Nothobranchius furzeri: one gene and its partners. The protein of the gene in region 4 interacts with the protein of the main gene of each other region in a pairwise test. Links are inferred from orthologs where the notes say so. Each region holds a gene or a part of one and is shown on either strand. Other genes may lie near its edges. The genes, in order: oprm1, pgrmc2, zbtb22b and vapal.

Region 1 (5,769 bases), on a different chromosome or scaffold from region 4:
GAGCCACATCCCTGCTGAGCTTCAGATGGCAGGTTTTGGAGTCTTATTTCCTGATACTTGGACATCTTGCGCCGGATTGGCTAACAGCAACATGACTCTACCATTGACTTGCAATGTTGATGTTTTATCTCCACAAATAACACAAGTACTTCTGCTGTGTGGTGGAGTTGCTAATGCTAATGGTTAGCTTCTTCTAGCTGAGACGTTATCTGCTGTGTTCTGGACTCGAAACATACAACAGCCTTCCCCGTTGCGAGTCAAGATGGGTGAGTCCATGAACGTTAAGTAACAGTATGACGTAGATCTGTCAGGCTTTTCAGATCCTAGAGTCACCGCCTATTTCCTATCAGAAGCTAATGCAGGAGATAGGTGTAGGAGACGATTTTCATGTTCAGCCTGCATGACTTATTCAGTGGCTAATTATAATCAGAAATAATAATTAAAACATTTTTTCAGTATTCCACACCTTTAAATAAAATCTAAGAAAATATTTTGCACGTGGCACGCAGCATGACACATCTCATCCAACCTACAGCCACATCTTATCAAGATGAACCAAAAATAGACCCACTGTGTGCACAGTGTGGCTTCAATTTCACTTTTCTCTCAAAATACAAAAGTTAAACTCCGTGTTCAGTCAGAAATGAGCACGCCTGCAGTGTCTGTTTAGAAACACATTTTCATTACTTATTTTAAAAGTAGCGTATAAAAAAGCAACACCATACGTTATGCAATGAGGTAAACGTTTCCTTCTTTATAAAGTCTCATAAAAATACTGGCTCACTGAATGCAGTGAAGAGAGAAACTGGGAAATAAAAGGCATCTTGCACAACGATACGCGACAACACTTAAGCAGTTTTACAGATGACACCAGATGTCCAGCTCCGATAGGCTCACCTGTTAGGCTCCCCAGAGGAGAAATGGCTCCTCCTAAAGCCGCTGTAATGGCTGTTAAACGGAGGTTAATCATACACCGTGTTTGCTCTGGATCTTTTAACAGTATGCTATGTGTGCAGTTCAAACAAGCTGATGCATCTTGTTTGCTGGTTTGGAGCACCCACTGTTTGGCACTAGCGTCCGCTGTGGTGGACACAGATGATTTCCTGTCTGAACAGGAGAGAACCTAGAACTCGCCATATCATGCTTTCAAAGGCTTTATACACCTCAAGTTGGATTGAAGAATTATGTATCGTCTGAAGTGAGGAGCAGAAATGGACCACTCCATAATTCTGAAGTGACCCAGGTCCAGCGTGGTGCCAAGCCGATTGGTGTTAAACTCTGAGGTCAACCCCTGTTGCAGCTGCACAAAGGCTTGTGGAAAAGCACAGCTGATCCCAATGACTGTCAACTGCACTTTCTGCTCAGAAAAGTCCCCGCGCAGGCATAAAGCCTTGGAGCTTTTGAGTGAAGGAACACTTGAAATTCACATTTTTAATAACTCACCGTGTTATTTTGACATGTGGTAATATTTAGCAATAACTTCTGACAAAGGAATGGCATTGAGTTATGAAGGCAAATGATGGATCTGTTGGCAGAACCTGGACGAAGCAGCGATGTTGAAGCAGATCAGCGAGGCAGAGTCTATAAAAATCATCATATAACCAGAGAGCAAAAGACATTTTAGTGATAAAACATTAGATTTTTTATACTGCCTGGAACATCCTTCTTCTTATGGTGGTATTTTTAATAAATATTTAATTTAATCTAAATATTTCATGCTGTTTTTAATTTGGACTGCCGAGTACAAACAAACATGCAGCCACGCAGCTTCTGAGCACAAGTCAGCAGGTTTCCAGCCACCATGAAATGTGCCAGCCACCTTTGTCCAAGTGCACGTGTGGTTTTTTGTTCCCCCGAGCGTGGGATTAAAGCCCCGTGGTGACCTGTGTGAGTTCTGAGTTGAGATCATCGTTGGCAACGCCACCACGACAGCGAGAGTCCATCGACGACCCCTCCAAGGCTAGTCATACCTGCAGAGGGAGAACAAAGTGTGTCCGTGTCAATTCAACCAATATTTTCACTCTAAAAGTGTTGCAATTTACCACAGTGAATCGTTTCTTTCACAGATAAGTCCATAATATTACTGATAGGGGAACTCATTGTCATGTTACACTGTCAAAAAATCTTAGATTTTACGATAAAAGAGCCCTGGGTGGCCTTTTGGCAACAGAGGTGCCTATTGGGGCCAGTGGGGGAGCTGGCTCCCTGGAGGGCTTAAGCCCAGCCAGCCATTCCTCCCCATACCCACACATTTTTCTCCTCCTGCTCCCTCACATCATCACACAAACATGCACATAGGACCTTGGGGGGGTGGACAAGTCAGGGGGTGCAGGTATGGACCCCATTTCCACATTCCTGTGGCAATCTGCCCCCCAATTTTATTTGCACCATAAACACTTCCACCAACGACATTCCACGCAAACACTTGGGGTCTTGGGAGTGAGCACATTCAACGGCATTTGGCAGGGGGATTTTTCAGCCTCATTCTGAGTGCTGGTGCCCACTTCCCATTTTAAACTGCACTTAGACACTAAGGGCTGTGGGTGCAAGTGGGGTGGTGTGGTGGCATCAGCTGGCGTAGGCTAGACGATGCCCGCGTTGCCCGCTCACCACAGCCATGGACTACACCTCATCAACATGCACTAACACTATATTGGAGCAAGCGGAGGGAGATTAGGGGTCTTAGCACACCTCTGTTGTTGCTTGGCTTCCCGGAGCTGGAGGCTAGGAGGGGGATCTGGCCATCTGGTTGGGGTCTGGGGTGGTGGGTTGCTTTGCTCAGTGTTGGGCGGGGGAGTCTGCTCATCAGCATCCCAGCAGAAAGGGTCGAACTCTGGGAACCGGTAATGGTTTTACCCCATGTGCAGCAGTACCGGGACCAGAGTGAATAGGGTGTGTATGGGGAGCATGAGTGGGTGTCCGGCATGCATTTTTGTAAGTCTTTGGTTGTATGTGTATGTGTGAGCATGAGGGAGGGAGTGTATTACTGTGTCTGTGTATGACTGTATATGTCAGGTGGGGCCTTTGACTCCTCCCTCCTCCTGGGACTTCTTTTGATGCTATACATCTTCATCTCCCCTCCCCCTGCCACACCTGGTGTGGAGTGTGGTGCCTTGGTCTGCCTGAGTGTTCGTGGTTAGGGGGTTTAAGATTTTTGGTGTCTGCCTGATCAGTCCCGGTGGCTGCCTGGTGGGATCTGGGTCCCTGGGCTCTGCTGGGTCCCCGGCGGGGTTGGTCGCCCCTGGGTCCTGGGCTCGGCTGGCTGGGGGGTGGGAGGCTGCGGGCGGGCCTGTGGGCTTGCCGCTGATATCTCACAGGACTCTGCCGGATGCTGGTTGTGGCCCCCCGGGGCAATCCTCTGCGCCTCTCGAGGGGGGCAGGGGCTTTTCTGGTTGCAGTCTCCCTGGGGTCCCTGCACTCTGGGGCAGCTCCTGGATCTCTGAGACTTGGAGCTCCTACACATCTTTGGGGGCAGATCTGTGGCCCCTCACACTCTCTATTGGACGCTCCTATAGAGAAACCTTACATATGCAAGCGCGGGTACGCACACAGGTGCTCACATGGTGCTCTCATAAGTATGGACTTGGGCACGTTCAACACATGCCTTGAGGCTGTGGTTGGCACTTAATACACTGTGATTTATTATCGTGTGATTGTTCAGTAAAACATTGTTGATTTAATATTTTCTCATCAGGTTGATACAGTGATTGTTTGCTCCTGTTGTATTGTTGTGTGTTGTTTTTCTTTTTTTTCTCCTTCTGCAGGTCTAGAAGCAGACTCTTGTTCATCATTGATTGTTTATTTTGTGCCAGACTTCACCTAAATGCCGTTAAGCTCACTGGGAAACAGGAAGTAAATTCTCCCCAGCAACTGCTACAATTTTTTTTTGTGTCTCTAAAAGGCACGCGAGTGCCGCTACCAAAATATGTTGACTGAAACACCACAGAAGAAGTGAGCTTGTCACATGATCAAATTAATTTACTTAATGGCTAATGGCTAATAATCGTTAAGGGCATCAATAACTTGTTAAAGAAATCTTGGAAAATCTGCATCCCTAATGCTGTATAATCTAGTGTTTTCATGTGACATTAATGTAAAATTCACAACGTTAAAGGCCCAATGTGTGATATTTCATCTTATAAGTTATCAAATTTCTTGTATCACATTCTCAAATTTGTTTTTTTTTAATGATAATTCAAACAAGCATTTATTCTAAGCATTATTATTAGCTTTATATTTTAATATTTTAGACAAAAGAAGCAGACCGGTGCTCCATATGGCATGCGCCATCTTAAAATACAGTGACCTTTTAGGGACATACAACATATTAAGCTTCGCATTTGATGTTTGCGTTTTTAAATGATGTAACCTCAAAGAAACAGCAGGGGGCAGAAGTGCGCCTTGTAAGCATGCAGTCTGACAAAGTAACTAAGAAGAAGAAGAAACTAGCCACACCGTACTTCTAGCGATGGAGGATCACACATATTCTACAAGCAAACTTGAGAAACGGGATAGTTTGAAAGTGCTTGAAAGCGCCGATCTTCTAGACTTTATTGCAGCTCTGCCTCTTCCTCTTGTGCGTGGAACGTTGCGGCTGGTTTGAGCAAATTCGGCTCCTTCATCTTGGGATGCTTGCCCTGCTTCTGTCGCATGTCTAACACCTCTGCCTCTCTGTGCGCTGGCACACGTCTGTCCTCTCCCTCTTCCTCTCCCTCTTCCTCTCCCTCTTCCTCGCCCTCTTCCTCTCCCTCGTCCTCTGTCTGTCTTCACTGATGAACCATCGGATGATATCTGACTCTGTTTACGGAGAGAAAACAATTACAGACTACACTACCTTGTATATTTCCAAAATGGCAAATAGAAATATAACATTTCTCAAATAAAATGAACAAAATATTGTCATTTTTTGTAGTCAGAAGTCATCACTAACTAGCTGCCGTTTGCTATTAGCAAACATAACTGACATAAAAAAGTTTTTCTTATTCAAAACCTATTTAGATTAAATTAATAAAATAAGTTAGATGAAAACAACTAACCTGTTCGCTGACTTGAAAGCTGGAATTAGATGATGACATGCTGCCGTTTACAGCAACACGATTTTGTATTGTATTTGTTATATTTGTTAATAAAGTTTTAAATAATGATTAAAAAAACCCTTTTTGATCCTCGGGGGCTCCAATAGCTGCAATACCAACTATAAACTGCGTGGTGCTAAAGAGTCGGATCTTTTTACTATGATTTCTGTGAATTTCACACACGGGGCCTTTAAATTACACCATGTATCCGTTATCAGCAATTAAAAGCTGTAATGTTTTCAATTAATAAATGTAAAAATCATAGTGTTTATACCGTTGATGAAAAAAGCTGACGAAAGAGTGCTTTACTGTGGGAATATGTATTTTATTCAAAGAATTTATAAATTACTGTTTTCACCAGTGGCAACACCACATTAAATCAACAGTTTTAAATAGTTTTATAGCTGACGGTTTTTTCCTGTTATGGTTTTACGGTTTATCATTGTTAAATAAACAGTAATTTTTTACAGTGTACAGCCACTTTACACAAACTGGATCAGATTTGTCTAAATTATTAAGCATATTTGGGATTTAAAAATAAAAAATAACAACTGAAGAGTGAAAATACATATGCACATTCTTTACAAGACAATTGGATGTTTTCATTTTAATTTACTTATCTTCAATTGGGACACAAATGCAATATTTTTCATTTCTCAAAAAAATAAGTGCAAAAAACAGTAACAAAGAAAGT
Region 2 (6,301 bases), on a different chromosome or scaffold from region 4:
GTATTTCACAAACAAACCGTTTGGTCATGAAGAAAGACGTAGTGTTAATTAGATTGTTTTTATCAGAGCTTTTTTCTTTAAAGCAGCAAGCATAGGCAGCGAGCTCATAATGTTTACAAAACAACACAAAAAAATGCATTCCTCGCATTTTGTCTTTTGACTCTGATGCCAAACTGATTGCTGTAAACCGTGAAGGTGTTGGATGGAGACGCTGTGGAGAATCTCATGTGCCTTAATCCTCATCACGATGAATGGAGTGTGTTTAATGACTAATTAGTACAAATAATCCTGCTTTCTATCATTTTTGACAATCAGGTAGACGGCTGCAGCCATAGATTAGACAGAAGCTCCTCCAACAGACGTTCCTCAGTTTAATTAAAAACATACAAAAGTAATGATTTTTTTTAACTTAAAGAACAGATTTTAAAGTGTCTGAGGGTCAGCTTCATTCAGTCAAGTGTTTTAGAGCAGAGCCAAACCAAACTAACTAGTGACACTAAATAAAGAACAGAATCAAACATCTTTAGACTTCTGTCAAACGCTGCAGCTCTGTCAAACATTTATCTTTTTACAGCGTTCCATTTTCTCACCAGAACAGTCGTTATAAAATTCAGACATTTATTGAGGCTCTTTCACGTTCATGGTGAGCAAACCTGCTCCATAAATTCTTGTTCAGGCATGGGCAGACAGCTCCCAGGAACAACAACCTGTACCAAACCTGGATTTGTATTAGCTTGAAAGCAGCTAACGAGCCAGCCCCACTAGTTCCACCCACAGACAGCTCATAATTTATTGTTTTATATAACTATTGCATCGACTTGACTGATGGAACAGTCTTAGGTGATCATTTCAGTTTTTAATGCTTTTGCTTTTAAATGTGAGGAAAAATATGAAATATTTCTGTTGGGATTATGAGCATAAACTAGCATCAAAACTACCATTAAATGACTTTTCTTCACTGGACTTGATGGGTTTTAGAGATAGAATAAAAGATAAATGTAAATATTATGAAAATAATTTGCTATTCAATTATTCATTTGATTTTAAAAGTAATTTGTTTTATTAGTAGTGTGTTTTTGAGTGTTTCAGAATAAAGCAGTGCATGTTTGATGAATTGTAAAATGCAAAAAAATAAAAAACTATATATATATATAATAACATCTGATTGTATGAAGTTGTGTTTGAGTGATTTGTTCTACTGCTCTGCTAATTCTAGTTGGTTTCACCAGCCACTTACTGTTTTCACCTTTAGATATCAACATGCAGCTGGAGGTAAAACCACAGTGGGACATCAGTATCATAAGTGCAATGGATGAACAAGATGCAGATGAATCTTCAATAAATATTCATAAAAATGAATGTCAAAAGTTGCATAAGCAATTAAGTGTTTAATCTTGTTTTTGAAGACCTCACAGGAGCATCAAACATCTACCCAGGGTTTACAAAAATAGCTCCTGGAAGCAGCATAATTCAGTTTACAGCTCCATCTTTAATCTTTGTCCCAAAATTTTCAAAAGGATAAATCGACAAATTTTCAGAGTCTTGTATTTTTTTTAGGTTTCATCTAAGTAACTTTTACAGGAAACCCGAATGTTCCAGCAGAATGGAAATAAAACAAGCATAAAGAAAATATAAAACCAATCAATACCTTATAAGGAGATCATATAAAAGGGGAATCATATTGAGGTGAGATGTTCAGATTCTATATATTTGATTTATTTATACAGGCCGCTCACGCCAGAACATGCCAGTTTAGACTGACGTGAAACGGAAAAAACTATGAAGGTAAAAGCCTGCCAAATTTGTTACGATGTGGTAGATTTCAATATGTAAATGTAACTAAATAAGACGTGAATGTTTACGTTTTATTCTAAATATTTAAGTATAAAGGTGTGAATATTGTCATTTCCTAAAAACATGTAGTTAAAACGCTACTTTAAAAGCTCACACACACCTTTTATTATGAATTTGTATTTATTGGAACTTAATTATTCATTTATTACGACTAAAGGAGGTAGTTAACGCCTTGACTTTGTAATTTTCACGCTCGCAAAGCTGGAGTTCTTCCCATTTCCAACGGAGCGTGAACGCAGCATCTGGCCAGGGGCGGGTAGTGCTAACTGTGCAGCATGGCGGACGATGGAGACAGTTCGAGCGGACCAGTTGACACAAGGGTCGGGCAGGGGACAGCGGAGGAGCCAGACGGGCTCGGGCTCAGTGGAATGTTGTTGAATATCAGCAGTTTGGTTCTGGTAGTGGCTGTTTGTTTTGCGGTATACAGGCGGTGGGGTAGACGGCTCGGCTCCGGCGCGGCCCACGGCGACGAGGCCTCGGTACTTCCCAAGATGCGGAGACGGGACTTCACTTTGGAGCAGCTGCGGGAGTATGACGGGCTTCAGAACCCTCGCATCCTCATGGCTGTCAACATGAAAGTGTTCGACGTGACCAGTGGCAAAAAGTTTTATGGAAAAGGTGAACGGGCAACGAGCGGGTGGCTCTGATAGCGAAGTTAGCTGACACGTTGCCGTCTGCAGTGAGTCGCCCTGGACCAGAATTTGAGCGCAAACCGCTCCATTTTAGCTTAGCCTAGCTTAGCTCCCTGGCTTTGTTTGGTTTGAATGGAATTAGCTGCTAGCTAGCTGCGACAGCTGTTACAATAACAACATTTCCACATATTCAATCTTTGAGCCGCGAACCAGTGAATTATTTTGGGTGGAGTTGTATTAACACTGGAGGAGAAGAATTTGTAAAAAAAAATAAAATAATTTGGCTAACCTCTGCCTGCAGCAATTATCCTGTTGATAACTAGCCTGGACACGCCGCTTGTTTACACTGATGAGACTAACTTTGGACGGGGACGCGTCCCCGCAGAGCAGTTCTGGTATGACTGAGAGGGTCAGATATTTGTAGGAAGATGTCTTATCATCACTGCTGATATCTGGCACCAAACATAAAAGCTATTTTCACTTTAAACATGTTCTAGAGCTGTACATACGTTTTATGTCTCACTGTTATAACAAGCCCGGTCAGTATGAGCTGGGTGTGGGTTGGGTTCAGTATCACCGGAATTTAAAGTTTAATTTCATCTGGTGTATTTTCAGACAGGGTAATGTTAGTGCTCGGTAATTTAAACATACCCGTAAATGAATCAGTCCATCTCTCGGTGGAAGGCAGCTGAGATTTTCATCTCAACTGTTTCAGAAACGATTTTACTTGTTTCCAAAAATAAACTGTTAGAGAACTACTATCACTAGCCTTGCTGTGGTCACACAGGCATCATGTGAAAGGGAAGCACTCTGATTCACTATATCTTTAAAACCATTTTCTCACTTCTCCACAACAAAGCTCTGATTTTTCACGTGGGAGTCAGATGATGGCTTGAACATGACTAAAGATGTTTTAATGAAATGTTTTTCATGCTTGTGAAACCTGTGCGGAGCTCAGTCAGACCAGCTGGCGTCACCTTCTACTCCTGTAGGAAATTTTCACATAAAATTATTCATTAAATAAGTAAAGCAGAGGGCTTTCACTATAGTTAAGACCAAACAACATGTTAAAAGCTTCAGTAAACAAGGAATTACACCAAACAGCCGTTGTGTGTTTAAGGAATTAACAGAATAAACAAATCAAACTTCTTGTTGTGAAGCTCATACTGATGCTCTTTCTGGGAAAAACACAAGAAGAAGTTCTTCTTTTTCAGGTCTTATTGACGGGTGTTGTTTTTTCCTTTCAGACGGCCCTTATGGTATTTTTGCTGGGCGGGATGCTTCGAGGGGCCTGGCCACATTCTGCCTAGAGAAGAACGCCCTGAGGGACGAATACGACGACCTATCTGATCTCAGCGCTGTACAGATGGAGAGTGTGAGGGAATGGGAGATGCAGTTCATGGGTAAGCTTTTACATTTGGTTTATAGCTAATAAATAAGCTGCTCACTGAGTGCTGCTTTGATGCAGATGCTGCAGAGACATCTAAAGGTATGCATTTTAATTCTGGTAAACCTGACTGACTTGTTTTTTATGTTGATTATAACTTAAATGAGTGTGGTTTGATTATGTTCCTTTTAAAGGAGAGAACATGTATTTTCATTTGTTTTAATTTAGTTAATTGTACAAAAACAACTAGATTAATAAAGAAAAGAAAGTCATATATTTAGTTGAAGATAAATGTTAAAGAGCAAGTCACCCCCTACCAGAGTATTACTCCACTCCCACTTCCTGTTTGAAAAATGCAACGAATGCTGTTGTCTAGCAGACTGAGATGGCGGAGCCGCTAACAAATACACACACACAGACTCACGGCGACATTGTGACATCATATGGTACCAGCTAACGTTCTAAGGTACCTCTTAGCCAATAGCGATGACAGATTTGAATTCAAATGCAGAATTTTTACCTGACAATGGCACAACACTGACCGTTTAGGCAGAAAATTAAGATTTTAACTAAAATGCACTAAAGTGCTAAACAATTGACTACACATGTCTGCAGCACGATTAGACACGCATTTATATAGTTTATCAGGAAAAAAAGTTGATTTGGGGGTGACGCTCTTTAACTTTATTTAGCTCACTAGCCCTAATGACTAGTTTTAGTCCTCCTGTAGACGTGAAGCTGCTGCTTAGCTCATTTACACAGGAGCGTTAATTATTATCTTTAAGCTGAAACCAGAATAATTGTAGAATTGGTATTTGAGGTACTTTAACCTGGTAACCCAACTGACCGCTTAAGTTTCAACAGAAATATCTCGCGTCAGATCAGACTAAACTAACAAGTGCTGTTGCCACATGGGCTGAAAAAAGACAGAATACACTGAATATGTAATATGTGTAAGACTGTCCTTGAGCCTCGTCTTCATCCTGTTTACAACACAAGTCGTCTCAAATTACAGCATCAAATCTAAATTATAAAAGCTCCAGATTCCCTTACTGGTTGCAGTAAATGAAAATAAGTTTAAAGTAACTGTATATTTTTACCTTTATTCTCTGGAAATGTCCATCAAAATGTTGGAAATGAGTAAAATGTCCAGTAGTTGAAAAGTATTGGCGGCTTCGTAACATAACCAAAAAAATATCAAGTCTAAACTGCATAGTCCATGGGTCTAGCGCCTTTGGGGGGCGCCATATTAGACGCCATGTTTCCTTCTGGCCGGCTTGGGCTCCTGTGCCTGTTGATGATGTCACATTAGATGAGTGGCTAGACGTACAACTTCCTGAAGTTACGTTACCACGTTCAAAAATATTTAGGCAGTAAGAAACACAAATTCAATAACAAAACTGCTAAACTTTTTTTGAAATCTGTGTAAAAGAACAGAATCAAAAAGGGATGCAATACATTTTAGCCGAGTGGTATTACCGTAGTATGATGTCATCGGCAGGTGCAGGACCCCAAGCACACTGAGGTAACATTTACCGTATTGTTTTTTTAAACTAGCGACGGTCACGATTATATGGTGTAAAACTACCCAGAAATGTGTGTATGTGCTGCCCCCTAGTGGCAGGAACACAACACACTGCCACTTTTATTAAACTTGATTATATATAAAATACGTTTGTTGTGTTTTCAGAAAAATACGATTATGTTGGAAGGTTGCTGAAGCCTGGAGACGAACCGTCAGAATACACAGATGAGGAGGACATCAAGGACCACCTAAAGCACGACTGAGCACTTTCCACTGCATTAACCAAAGCCAGAAGCCCCAAGCAGCTGCAACAGGCTTCCTCCCCTCCTGCTCTGTCCCACCCATTTACCCATAATGCCCTGCTCTCCAGCCCCACTGAATCTGTCTGTGTCTGCAGCTGTTTTGGCCGGGAGGACTGAAGTGTCAGACCCCCCACCCCCCTCATCCTGCGAAGGTTACCATCAACAGAGCAACCTGGAACCTTTAGGGAGGATCTTCTGATGTGTCTGGGGGGCAAGCGTGACCAGTGCCGTTAGACCTGAAAGTCTCTTCAGTGGTTCGTCCCGGTGTGGACCGTCGGATTGGGAATGTTCCGATCAAACACACATTAGTCTGGGAGGATCCTTGGAGTGGGAGAGGGAAGCCTCTTCTCTCCTTTTATCTTTGATTTAGTCACATAGCATCTGCACCTGTTGGGCTTTCAGGAGTTTACGGATCATCTGTTATTGTCTGGATCGTTTTCCTCTCGTTAGCGCGTCGCTTCTGTGGCCTGAAGGTGGCGTCGCCGTTTCCTGTTGTGTTTGTAGTGTTTGCACTACTAGTTCTTTCTGTTTGCCCATGTGATAAGTAGCATAGAGGGAAACCCTTTCTCGTGTTTTGGGGGTTAGAGGTCCTTGTGGTTTG
Region 3 (6,326 bases), on a different chromosome or scaffold from region 4:
CAGCGGCTCTGATGGCACCACCCTCGCTGTTGCTGCTGCTACACCCGGCGACGGCTGACCTTTCACCTCCTCCTGCTCCATCCTGCAGCGCTCCTCCACCTCCTGCAGCTGCAGCTCGACCCTCCCTCAGCAGCTCGGTGCATTTGTCCACGATGTGCCACATCTGCAGCACGCTACCCACCGTCAGGTAGTTGACGATGTCGTCTCTCAGCATCTGGAGCTGACCCGTGTAGGCGCAGCTCAGGACGCTCTCGAACGCCAGCGGGTCCATCACGGCCGGGATGGAGACGGTAGACATGTTCTTCAGCAGCACCTGGAGGCAGGTGGAGGTCAGAAGGTCAAAGGACGGTTCACCTCTGGTTTTCTTTCTGTAAAAACATCTTTTTTTGATACCTGACTAAATATTTGGATAGGACATGGTCCTGCATGAATGTTTTTGTTCTGTTTTAATTTTGTTAATATAATAAATTAATTAATCAGTTAATTAAAGCAAACACGCATCATTCTAACATTAATCCTTCCCAGGACTTCCTTAAAGAGGTTTTTAACCCCAGACTCCTCGTCGTCGTCTTCCTCCACTTATCCGGGTCCGGGTCGACCCGGGGGCCTCCTGCCGGCAGGACATGCCTGAAACACCTCCCCAGGGAGGCGTCCAGGAGGCATCCTGACCAGATGCCCAAACCACCTCAACTGGCTCCTTTCGATCCGGAGGAGCAGCGGTTCTACTCCGAGTCCCTCCCGAATGTCCGAGCTCCTCACCCTATCTCTAAGGCTGAGCCCGGCCACCCTACGGAGGAAACTCATTTCGGCCGCTTGTATCCGCGATCTCGTTCTTTCGGTCATTACCCAAAGCTCATGACCATAGGTGAGGATTGGGACGTAGATCGACCGGTAAATCGAGAGCCTGGCTTTCTGGCTCAGCTCCCTCTTCACCACGACAGATCGGCTCAGCGTCCGCATCACTGCAGACGCCGAACCAATCCGCCTGTCGATCTCCCGATCCCTCCTACCCTCACTCGTGAACAAGACCCCGAGATACTTAAACTCCTCCACTTGACGTAGGACCTCTCCCCCGATCCAGAGTTGGCAAGCCGCCCTTTTCTGGTCGAGAACCATGGTCTCAGATTTGGAGGTGCTGATCCTCATCCCAGCCGCTTCACACTCGGCCGTGAACCTACCCAGCAAGAGCTGAAGGTCAGAGCTGGATGAAGCTAGGAGGACCACATCATCCGCAAAAAGCAGAGACGAGATTCTCCTGCCACCAAACTCGACACACTCCACACCACGGTTGCGCCTAGAAATTCTGTCCATAAAGGTAATGAACAGAACCGGTGACAAAGGGCAGCCCTGGTGGAGTCCAACCCTCACCTGGAACAGGTCCGACTTACTACCGGCTATGCGGACCAAACTCACCCTCCTCTGGAGGTGGGAGTTGAAGACCGTCTTAACAGGTTCTTCTGCCAGGCGTTCCCAGCAGACCCTCACTATGCGTTTGGGTCTGCCAGGTTTACGCGACATCTTCCCCTGCCATCTGATCCAACTCACCACCAGGTGGTGATCAGTTGACAGCTCCGCTCCTCTCTTCACTCGGGTGTCCAAAACATACGGCCGCAGGTCAGATGATACAACTACAAAGTCTATTATCGACCTGCGACCTAGGCTGCCCTGGTACCAAGTGTACCGATGGGCATGGTGTTCGTTATGGCCAAACTGCGGTTTGCACAGAAGTCCAGTAACGAAACACCACTTGAGTTCAGATTAGGTGGGCCGTTCCTCCCATTCACACCCCTCCAGGTCATGCTGTCATTGCCCACGTGAGCATTGAATTCCCCCAGCAGGACAATGGAGTCCCCTGATGGAGCACTATCTAGCACTCGTCCCAGGGACTCCAAAAAGGGTGGGTACTCTGAACTGATATTTGGCCCATAAGCACAAACAAGTCAGGACCCTTTCCCCGACCCGAAGGCGCAGGGAAGCTACCCTCTCGTCCCCCGGGGTAAACCCCAACACACAGGCAGAGAGTCTCGGGGCTAACAAAAAGCCAACCCCAGCCCTCCACCTCTCCCCCGGAGCAACTCCAGCAAAGGAGAGTATCCAACCCCTCTCAAGGACTTGGGTTCCAGAGCCAATGCTATGTGTCGAGGCGAGTCCGACTATATCTAGCCGGTACCGCTCAACCTCTGCCACAAGCTCCTGCTCCTTCCCCGCCAGCGAGGTGATGTTCCATGTCCCAAAAACCAGTTTCCTTGTCCAGGGATCGGACCGCCAAGACTCCCGCCTTGGTCTGCCACCCGATCCACATTGCACCGGACCCTTCATGTTCCTCCTGCGGGTGGTGGGTCCACAGTTGGATGAGCCCATGTGCCACCAGGCGCTCGCTCACGGGCCCCAACCCCAGGCCTGGCTCCAAGGTGTGACCCCGGTAACCCTCCGGGCCGGGTACTCTGACTCTTTGTTTTAATGTCCATGAAAGATCCTGTGAACTGTTCTTTGTCGCACCCTTCACCTAAAACCCATGTGTCATGGGAGACCCTACTAGGGGCACAAAGTGCCCCAGACATCATAGCTCCTAGGATCATTAGGGCACTCAAACTCCTCCATCATGATAAGGTGACGGTTCAAGAAGGACCCCCCAGACTTTCCTGGTTAATTAAAAATGAACTAAAAGCAAAAAGAAATCCTGCAGACACAATTAATCATGGCTTTGTAATTTTAGGATTTTGTGTTTTTAGACACTAGTGACTTTTGTCTAACACACTGAACTGATTTGTGTGTAACTGTTATCTGGTTTAGTGAAGTCAGACCTGGTCATGGAAGTACGGCGAGGAAGCAGCGAGGACGCAGCGGTGAGCCTTGAACACGTGTCCCTGGACGTGGATGGAGAGATCACAGAGACTACCGTCCTCCCTCTGACGGTTCAGGCTGTCCAGAACAGACGTCTGAGCGCTGGGGAAGCTCACCTGAACCACAGAACCACCTGATCTGCTGCTTCCCACCTCCATGGACACCGACTGCATCTGGATGGTAGAAAAGCATCAACTCAGTGCAACTGCTTTAAGTCACTCCAAATATGATTCAGAATTAGTTTTTTTTATGAACAAAAGTTTTTATTGCAGTTTGAAAAAGTGAATCATATAATCTGGACTAACCTATCAGACAATTTAAACCTCTTATAAATAAAAAATCCAGAAAAAAACGTCATCTGGTGCTAAAAAACAACAAATTATTTAAAGTGCATCCTTGTGTTTAGAAAGGAAATAAGCTGCAGACAAGATTAGGATCTCTGTAGTAAACCATGTATAAAAAAGCAATTTAAAGCTCATCAGTAACCTAAAACTAATGTAATGAAACCCTAAAATGCCAGAAAGTCAGATTTTACGATCAATAACAAACCGATCATCTTGTTTATGTCTGAAAACCTGCAGCTTTTAGTTCCCGTTAAACATCCTGATTAAACCACAGAGGTAACAGCAGATTAATGACAACACAATGATGCTGCAGAACTACAGTTTATATCAAGTCCGACAGAAAACTGCAGATTATGTTCCTTGTTTTGAGTCAAACGTGTCAGACAACATTTTGTTCATTCATCTGTGGCACAAACTTACTTTTAGTTGATTAAAACTCAAGTTACAAATTAAAACTACAAACCGGTGAAATGTTATGTAGCTGATCGTGCACATCTGTCAGGGAAACATCTGTAAAATCCGTCACTCCGTTACAGATGTGCTGTTAGCATGATGCTAGCAGCTGTTAGCTTAGGCGGTGGGCTAAAAGCGGACGTTCGGCTCACCGTTTCAGTCTCTGCCGCCCTCAAAGCTCCAGTCTGTGGGAGAGAAAGGGGCAGCCCGACCCGCCTGGTCATCCAGAACCCGAACTTTCAGGAGCATTTTTAAACGGACTTGTTCTGGTCGGATTTCTGCGGCGGCAGACAACGACGCGTCGCCTTTAACGACCCCCAGACAGACAGCCAGACTTTAGCCGACACAAAATCAGACCTTTAAAGAGCAAGTCACCCCCAAATAAACTTTGTTTTGCTGATAAACTAAATGTGACCTAGAGGGTTGGATGCTTACATCCTAAAACCGTAGCAGAGGCTTAGTCACAAGTTTAACAATTTTATTTAGAAGATACAGCACAGGAGATTTATTAAAGACAACCCAGGTCGGGATAAAAATAGGCTAAAACTCTAAACCACGAGAGGGAGGAGCGACGACAATGCTGGCCCTGGGACTACACACAACGCCATCCAACTACTATTTAAAAGCACAAAGCCGCTGTAGGGAACCGAGACAAGAGACAATAATATAAAGAAAAACACTCAGGCCTAGTCCACACGTAGCCGGGTTTTTTGAAAACGAATATCCGCCCCTCCAAAAACTTGCATCCACACCACCGCGTTTTAAAACAAAACTCTGTCCACATGTACCCGGATAAATACGTTGTTAAGGACATGCCAGACCTGTAGGCGGCAGTACTTCCCCCGTTCTTAACCTCGTCTGTGGTCTTCCGCAAGGAGCAGTAATTCCGCTTGCAAAAACAAACAAGCAGAAAGCACTTGGACAATTGAGGGATCGGGTAGTGACAGTGCGCAGCTCTGAGGGCATCCATGCTGTCAGCTAGTGTAAACACAGGTCGCACACGTGATGTCAGCATTTTTTGTCGCGGAAAGTGACGTTGCGGACCTTAAAACTCCGGTTTTGTCTGTCCACACGCAGACACCCAAAACAGAGAAAACACAGATCTTCACTTTGGCCGGAGTTTTTAAAAAGATCCGTTTTCGTGTGGATGACAGGCCAAAACGTAGAAAAATGTCTACGTTTTGGCAGATCCCCGGCTACGTGTGGACAGGGCCTCAGTGCTCCCTTTAACTAAAGCTCATACACACGTCACCCAGAAGTGAGTAAAACCCCGAAAACTCCTACAGCGGATACTCTAAAAGAAGCTAGCCTCCCAGAGACAGCACTGTGCTTAACGCTAACCACCCGACTCACAAGTTTGCTTCCTTCCCCCTCTGGAGAAAACGATTAGTAATAAGATAAAACCGGCAAACGGTTTAATAAAAGAACTAGAAAAGATTTAATAAAAGAACTGGAAAAACAGTAGCAGGCTAAGGTCTCATCGGCCGACCGCTTGCCAATGAAAATTCCGGCTGTTCACCCCTCAGTCCTGCTCACACACTTGGCTGCACCCACAGCGAGGCATTCCGCTCTTGCGGCTAGACCCCAGCTGCCCTAATTATAGCAGCCCTCTGATTACACACCTGGCCTCCCCTGTGTCCGCAGCATGACACGTATTTACAGTCTATGGTATAACCAGAGTAACTTCCAGGAACTAAGGTGACTCGATTACAATAATAAACGAGTGTAATCGTGCTGCAGACACATATTTTGCACTTCAGTGCATCTTGGTTAAAATTTAAATATTCTGCCTAAAACTGGCAGTGTTGTGCCGTTGTCAGGAACTCTGCACTGTTTTAATTTAAATCTGCCTTTAAATTGGCTAAGAGGTATGCTATGATGTAAACTGGTACATTATGATGTCACAATGCTGTCGTGAGCCTGTGTGTTTGTGTATTTGTTAGCAGCTCTGCCTTCGGTCTGCCAAGCAACAGCAGTTGTTGCATTTTTCAAACATGAAGTTAGCCTGGCAAGCCAGACTAAATAAATTATTTAAACTTTCAAACTTTGCAAAGCAACAATTTGGTCTAGTTCTCTAGGCTAACATGAAGTGGGAGTGGAGTTAGACTCTGGTAGGGGTTGACTTGCTCTTTAAAGAGCAAGTAGCACCCAAACCAACTTGTTTAGCTGATAATTTGTTTAAATATCGGTCTTATAGTACTGTAGATATGTAGTTATTATTTTAACATTTGTGTTTTATTCAAAAAGTAAAAGTTCCGCCTAAAAACCTGTCTAGCACGACCTTCTGGTGGAAAAAAAAAAAGTAGCGTACCATTATTTTCAGTTAAGCTTGCGTTTCCCCTCAACAGGAAATTGTCCCTTCAAAATAAAAGGGTTCAATTCTAACAGGAAGTCTATTGTAACTATCATGAAAACGGTATGTGCCAAACTACACAGAGTATTTAGTACTGATCTTTGATGCAAAATACTGTACAAAAATCTTATTCAACTAATATTTATATATCACTCCGAAATAAAATTCTTGAAATGTTAAAAAGTGGTCTACTATATTGGCCAAGTGTTTTTTCTTGGAGAAGTAAGAATATACGTCATTTAAAAACAGGAGCAGCTCAGGTAAAATATTTATTAAGACCCAACAAGAAAAGGAGATCAGAAGTCAGCATTGGTAATAAAACTAGATGTTTC
Region 4 (6,542 bases):
GACATCAACACTGCATACTTTAGTATTTGTTCATTTATCGTAATATCGATATCGCATTATTAAGCACTTTTTTCCTAATATCGTGCAGCTCTAGTTTTTACCATCCTTTCTACACCCACCATGTCCTGAACATGGAGAAATAAGCTTTGGATGATGTGTGTAAAGCGTGTTTACTCTGATGAAGCACACGGACTCTGTTGCTACTGCAGTGTCACCTTCTTCCTCACTGGACGAGTGAATATCTTCATCAGAGGGTGAATGTTACTCTTCAGAATCTGAGTCAGCCATTATCAGACAAAGAGCTTCGTCAACAATGAACAGACCTGTCAGTATTGTAAGTTTCTCCTCTAATATATAATATTTGCCCTCTGTGTGCTCCGCTCATCTTTTCTCTGTTGGGAATCTCCAGACGGGGTGGGGGTGAAGGGGGTATTTCGGTTTTCGGCCATGTTTTCCTCATTTTCTGTTTCAGCCAAGAGTTTTCATTTCTGTGCATCCCTAAATTAAAATCTTCTATTCAGCATTGTGTATTTGCTTCAGCAAAAGTGTTTTCAGACAGGTGGAAAGCTTTCTAACAAGCCTTTCACTTGCACCCCCCCCCCCCCACACACACACACACACACCACCCCTCCAATAGATACACCATCTGATATCTATGCAAGGCTTTGCTCAAAAAACATTTAAGTCTTTCATGGCACTGTTAAAGCTCTCATTCACTTGCTTTTTCAACAAATCTACAGTGTTCTCTGGTATAAATGAATACCTTGTGAGATTATTCTGTGGAGAAAAACTCCTGTTTTAAATGTAGTGGTTAGTTGGAGGAGTGGGGAGGGTGCAAAATGACAGGAATATGAGTCTTACTCATGACACGTAAATCTCGCGCTTCTTTCTTGAGTAAATAAAAGCAACGTAGATGTGTTATCTCTGCAAATCACAAGCCTGAATGTGTTCCACCTTATTGTGTAATAGCTAATGGTTCGTTTCTACTAGCCGAGACATTTGCTGTTCTCTCCTGGCGGCCAAAATGAATATAGCCTTCGCCCGCCGCTGCAAATCAAAGTAGGTGGGGCCATGAATTAGAGCTGGACAATAATTCCCTTTTTCATTATAATCTATCAGGTAGCAGCATACTAGACTCACTACTTACTCCTAACCAATCAAAACCACAGACTCAGGCACGCTACGTCACCAGGCCCTCCCCTTCTCAAGCCAAATAGAGTAAGATGTCTCAGCGAGAGGTGGAGAAATAATTAAAAATACCAAAAATAAATTGGCCAGGGCCAGTAAAATATATTTTCTACAATTTTTTAAAATATTTTTCAATAATTATCTATATCGATCAATATAAAATTATTGTTATCGATATACTGTTTTTCTATATCATCCAGCCCTACCATGAATGCAAATTTTCCCTGCGACATACAGTGCGTTTACATGCATCCAGTAACCCTTTTAAAACCCGAATATTCACAATAACCCGGTTCCGCAGGTCCGTGTAAACACCGCCAGAAACCCGGATATGCTCATAACCGGGTTTTTAAAAACCCGGTTACTACACCTGGGGTAACCCTTTTCTAACCAGAATGTTTGGTCGTGTAAACGCATATCGGGATATCCACATCAAAGCGTGTGTTCTGCGCATGCTCTGTTCGCAAGGAATCTTGGTCTTTTGAGTAGCAAGACGTCTTGTATGCGCCAGAACACCGGAAGTAAACAAGTTGGGAGCAAAATGGCGAGTCGCGGCACAGCACCACACTTTCGGAGTGACGAGGAAACTAAAGCGCAAACAAACGCGGTCGCTATCTCTTCCGAACTGGGAAAAATGTTGTTGTTTTCACGGATACCGGAACGAGAAGAACCGGAAATGACGCATATTGCGTCTGGACGTAGTCCACACGTCCTGACGCTACCCCAACCTCCGCATTTACATCGGGTTATGCAAGTTAGGGGTAACTCTTTCTATTTGTGCTTGTAAACGGGTTATTCTGATCAACTCAGAAACCCGAATGCCGACCTTAACCCGATCATAACCCGGATATTGGCTGCATGTAAACGTAGTCATAGAAGAGCCTGGCTTTTTCTGACCTGAATGATTCTCCATTTGTTTCTTTTCTGCAGCTAATACAGGCAATGGGGCTTGGAGAAAATCTTTCACAGTCAGCCTACATGTGAAACTCAAGGAGTTAATGATCACATTTGAAAAACAAGTATTACAGTTTCCCAGTTAACGAGAACTTTAATACAGGTTTTTAACAACATCAAACCTCACCAGAAGTCACAGTCTATTCCATATCCGATCATATCATGAGCTGTGAAAAAGCAATCATCAAAATGTCACTTTATGTTGGTTGATTTTCTGTCTTTCACCTTCCTTTAGGAACAATGTTCTGAAAAACATGTTATGCGACAATAATAACAAGACACAGTCATGTGGATTAAACAAAGCATCAGATAAAACGCTTTGTTGTAATTAAGTCAATGAAGTTATTCAAATATAATCAATTTACAGCATATTTTTCTGACAATTTAGTTCTGAAAAGCTTCCTCGAGGAGTTGAGAAGCTTTATTTTACATTAACACAATCATTGACAAGTTTGCTAAGTGAATGTGACATAGTCCTGCTTTTTCACACCCTGTGATATCATCAGGGACAGAATTATTTTTATAACTGAACCCCATTCAGAGGCTATCTTTTGGCTCTGTTTTTAGAAATGGTGACCTTTGAATAAAATCCTGTCAAATCAACACATAATACTCACTCAGATGTTCTTTGGTTAGTAGTAATTGAAAAATCACAACAGGTTGTGACTGCATTCATTAGTAAACAAACAGGGGTGCAGTTTTAACTGTCTGAAAATGACTAAATTAAAGTATTAAACTTCATTTTTACATGCCTATTTATACTATGAAAAAGTATGATGGTGACAATGATGCCTGAGAGCGTAGAAAATGGGACAATTACAAAAAGCAGGAGAATTCTAGGTCAGGAGGATAAATGAGCACCGTAAATGATAAGGATAGAGAAGAAGTATTTAAAATTTACCAGGGATTATGGACTGCACAGAATTAGGCAGAGCAGTCTTCTGTCACCCTGTGAACTTGTTTGGAGCAACAGTTGGTTTAAAAGAAAGTCTTAAGTTTCCTTTAAATTGTTAATTATGTCACAGATTGTTTAAAGAGCAGGTAATGAACCAAGCTACACACCAACTTTAGCAGGTTAGATAACCTACAGCGAGCTGACACATCACTCTTTATCACTGCCAAGAAACAAAATCAGTGTTAGCCTGACTATAAACGTGTGCTTGCATCCATGTTTTTGTCCATAACATATGAAAAGTCTCCTAAGAGTCTATAGGTTTAATATAAACTGTTCAATAAGGACATTTCTACTAAAAGTACATAGTTACTTTCTCAGCTGAGTTTCTCATTCAGTTACTAACAGACCGTCATTAAAAAGCTTTTTCCTCAAGTCATTGAGCTGCCACAATGTTCATCAATGTCCACTTAATTAGCAATGAATTTAACGCTAAGTCTGCCAGAAAACAACTCTTTTTCTGCTGCCAACATTGGCGGCACTAGCATAGTAAAAACGTTACGCCTAAAGTGAATAAACCCGCAAACAAACCACAAAACATCTTGTTTTAATGCAATTTTAAAACCGCAGCTCAGAACCATAACGCTTCTTTACGAGCTGGCCGGGAGCGGTAGGCCGCCTAGACGTTCTCATCGCCGGATATCCACGTCACCACAGCTCGAGGCTCCAACGGCCTATCCTTTCCCTGGCTAACTTAAAATGGCGGTGAATGCTAACAGCCGGAGTGTGAAAAAAATCCATCCAGGTGGGTTAACAGTTCTGCTCAAACGAGCCTAACCATCCAAATAGACATTTTCGTTTCCCTACCTTTAAATTTGAGGTCGCAGGGAGGGTCTAAGATTAAAACCTGATCCGGCTTGGACATTTTAGCGAGTCAAACGCTGAGTGACTTCTGGTCCTGAAAGGCGCATCTGCGTACAAATACTTCACCGAATCACCGCGCGAGAGCTCAGCCCTCCGCGGCGCGCGCCGCGTCCTCGTGGCTCTCTAACAAATAAGATAATCCTGCACTAAAATCATTAAACACTGACATGTTTAGAGGGAAGAACATCTGATAAAACTGCACAACAGTCCTGATTTGACCCGCACAAAGGTGAACGCGAGGTTGCGGATGATTGTGATGTGGTGCAGTTTTGTGAAAGAGTAAAATAACAAGTCTAAATTCATTATTTTTGTTTCAGATTTTTCTATTTTGTGACAAATAAGCCAAAAACAGACATAACACAAACGAAAAGTCAACAGAATAGGGAAAAAATAAAAATATATTTTAACCAGTAAAACAGGGGTGTCCAATGTGTGTCCAGCAGGTCTCCGGGTGATTTTTGCCCTTTGTATTTTCAAAAAAAATAAAAATAAAAAACTTTTTTTACTGATAAAAGGCCTAACAACATTTCCAATAAATTAATTTTTTTGAAAACTGTTATTAAAGTTCTACTAAATTATTTTATTGCGATAATTATTTTTAAAGGAAGAGGCAGTTTTGACTTGCTTTAATCACCCCTTAGTGTCCGTTTAGTAGAACCAAAAGCAAAACTTATCTCCTCGCTGTGCGTTCGTCGTTTTAACACCATCTAAGAGCTGAAATGTCTCCCCAGCCTTCATTAGTGTCTACAGCAGTAATGCATCACTAAATCAAACATGTCAGCTGTGTTCATGATCTAATACATACAGGAAAAATGCTGGCAGCAGATTACAGCGCCAGGTATGTCAGCTCAGTTTTTTTTTCCAGGTCCAAATCTCTCTCTGCAGTCTAGTCCAAATGACCAAACTGCACTCTGAAGTTGCAACTGCAGTACACTGGCCTCAGAGAGTGGTGGGGGTCTGTGTGACATTTCATGAACCCTGTAAAGGGTCATTTTAACACATACTGGCTCATGAAAATTATTACAAATCATAAAGTTGCCTAGTATGCGTTTAAGACCAAGAAAATCTATTTATCAAATGTAATGTTTTTGTTTTACTAATGCAAACACAAGATCCCTTTACTGTCTGGACACTTTATTCCACTTGCACAAACATACAGTAGGTGGGCTGTCATTTCAACACAATAAAAATGTTTGTTTTATTGTATTTAGCATCTATCTTGTTTATTTTAGACCTCAGTTATACTCTCAGCATCCAGCGGGGGCAGCAAAGTAGGAATTTCATCGTTCAGCTGCTTACTGCACATATAACAATAAAGCTTTTAGCGTTAATGTCTCATAAATGCAACTTTTTTTAATTAAAGCTTTAATATTACATGTTTATTGTGTTGTTGAGCAGGTCAAAATATTTTTTGTAAAAGTAATTACTAAAAATATCCTAGATTTTTACTATTATCTTGGCTATTTTAGTTTCTGGTTTGGGCATCACTAGATTTTATTTCAAAATAAATCACTCTAGGACTTCTTAAAATAAAAATATGCATTTTTCAATTCAAAATGATAAACTATGATTTCCTCGACGCTTTAATATTGCTGATATATTTGAATTTGGCTACAATTTAATCCAAATGAGTTGAAATTTCCATTAATTTGTTATGTCACCTGATTATCGTAGTTTTAAAGATCTACGTGATAGTTAGAAAAGGGGTTTTATTTCATTAATAAAATTTGTACTGGCTGCTGATGCACCGTCATTTTATCTTTGGCATATTGCTTTATCAATTAGATAGGATTGTAATCTTTTTAGACATGCCTCTAATTTATGTCCTTCAAAAATAAAGGCATGATGAAAACTAGAAGAAAGAGTACGATTATAATTTTATTACAATGTCAGTGACTTCTACACAGAATACATGAGAACAAATACTTGCATACAAATGAGGTTAAATGGAAACTATAGGCACTTTTAAAGATATGGGTACCGTCAGACTGCACCAAAAGCTGATATTCACTTTTAGCCATGTCATACATTTTTAAGAAACAATAAAAAAGACACATGTGTGAATCTAAACAGCATTTTAACAAAGGAGCATGTCCATAAGTGTAACATTCAGCTTTTAGGTGACTTTCACGTATCGCTTTAGGGGAATAACTGTTAGACATCGGGGAAACACCGTAGTCACAAGTCTGACATTTACTCAGAATAAAATCTGATGAGTCTAGAAAACCACGAGCGAAAGGTCACTGCCAATCTCGCTTCCAGAGGTTTGTGTTGAACGTTTTCCAAGTGAAGAAACACAGTTTGGCTAATTAATGAATGGATTTTGGTGTAAACTGTCCACACTAACATCAGCATAGATGGGCGTTTATAAAGTATTTTACTATAAATAAGAGATTTCATTATTACATCCCACAAATTGATAAAAAAAATAAGTTGTTTGACTTTGCAGCACATTCAGATAGAAAAAAAGTGTTTAACATTTTTTTTAAAGTACATATTTTTTGTTTGTATACATGATCCAAAGTTTAGGGTCCTATTAACACAGAGTTCAGGTAGTACAAAAACTATCTCATCGAACTGGACT

What was found.
Region 1: the proteins of vapal (region 4) and oprm1 interact in binary tests that used the Homo sapiens proteins (3 or more experiments, as listed by UniProt). The link is inferred for Nothobranchius furzeri from reciprocal best matches to the Homo sapiens genes VAPA and OPRM1.
Region 2: the proteins of vapal (region 4) and pgrmc2 interact in binary tests that used the Homo sapiens proteins (3 or more experiments, as listed by UniProt). The link is inferred for Nothobranchius furzeri from reciprocal best matches to the Homo sapiens genes VAPA and PGRMC2.
Region 3: the proteins of vapal (region 4) and zbtb22b interact in binary tests that used the Homo sapiens proteins (3 or more experiments, as listed by UniProt). The two-hybrid records come from large-scale screens. The link is inferred for Nothobranchius furzeri from reciprocal best matches to the Homo sapiens genes VAPA and ZBTB22.

The regions. Positions count from the first base shown.
Region 1 is NC_091752.1:24,310,646-24,316,414, forward strand, and holds the end of oprm1 (mu-type opioid receptor), read right to left. Parts: intron 4,798-5,769; coding exon 4,477-4,797; 3' UTR 1,984-4,476; downstream 1-1,983. UniProt on the Homo sapiens protein: Receptor for endogenous opioids such as beta-endorphin and endomorphin. Receptor for natural and synthetic opioids including morphine, heroin, DAMGO, fentanyl, etorphine, buprenorphin and methadone.
Region 2 is NC_091758.1:17,716,321-17,722,621, forward strand, and holds pgrmc2 (membrane-associated progesterone receptor component 2), read left to right. Parts: upstream 1-2,083; 5' UTR 2,084-2,129; coding exon 2,130-2,472; intron 2,473-3,733; coding exon 3,734-3,889; intron 3,890-5,563; coding exon 5,564-5,661; 3' UTR 5,662-6,212; downstream 6,213-6,301. UniProt on the Homo sapiens protein: Required for the maintenance of uterine histoarchitecture and normal female reproductive lifespan. May serve as a universal non-classical progesterone receptor in the uterus.
Region 3 is NC_091759.1:22,811,814-22,818,139, forward strand, and holds the start of zbtb22b (zinc finger and BTB domain-containing protein 22b), read right to left. Parts: upstream 4,013-6,326; 5' UTR 3,866-4,012; coding exon 3,794-3,865; intron 3,018-3,793; coding exon 2,805-3,017; intron 314-2,804; coding exon 1-313. UniProt on the Homo sapiens protein: May be involved in transcriptional regulation.
Region 4 is NC_091751.1:42,859,019-42,865,560, reverse strand, and holds the start of vapal (VAMP (vesicle-associated membrane protein)-associated protein A, like), read right to left. Parts: upstream 4,056-6,542; 5' UTR 3,960-4,055; coding exon 3,902-3,959; intron 1-3,901. UniProt on the Homo sapiens protein: Endoplasmic reticulum (ER)-anchored protein that mediates the formation of contact sites between the ER and endosomes via interaction with FFAT motif-containing proteins such as STARD3 or WDR44.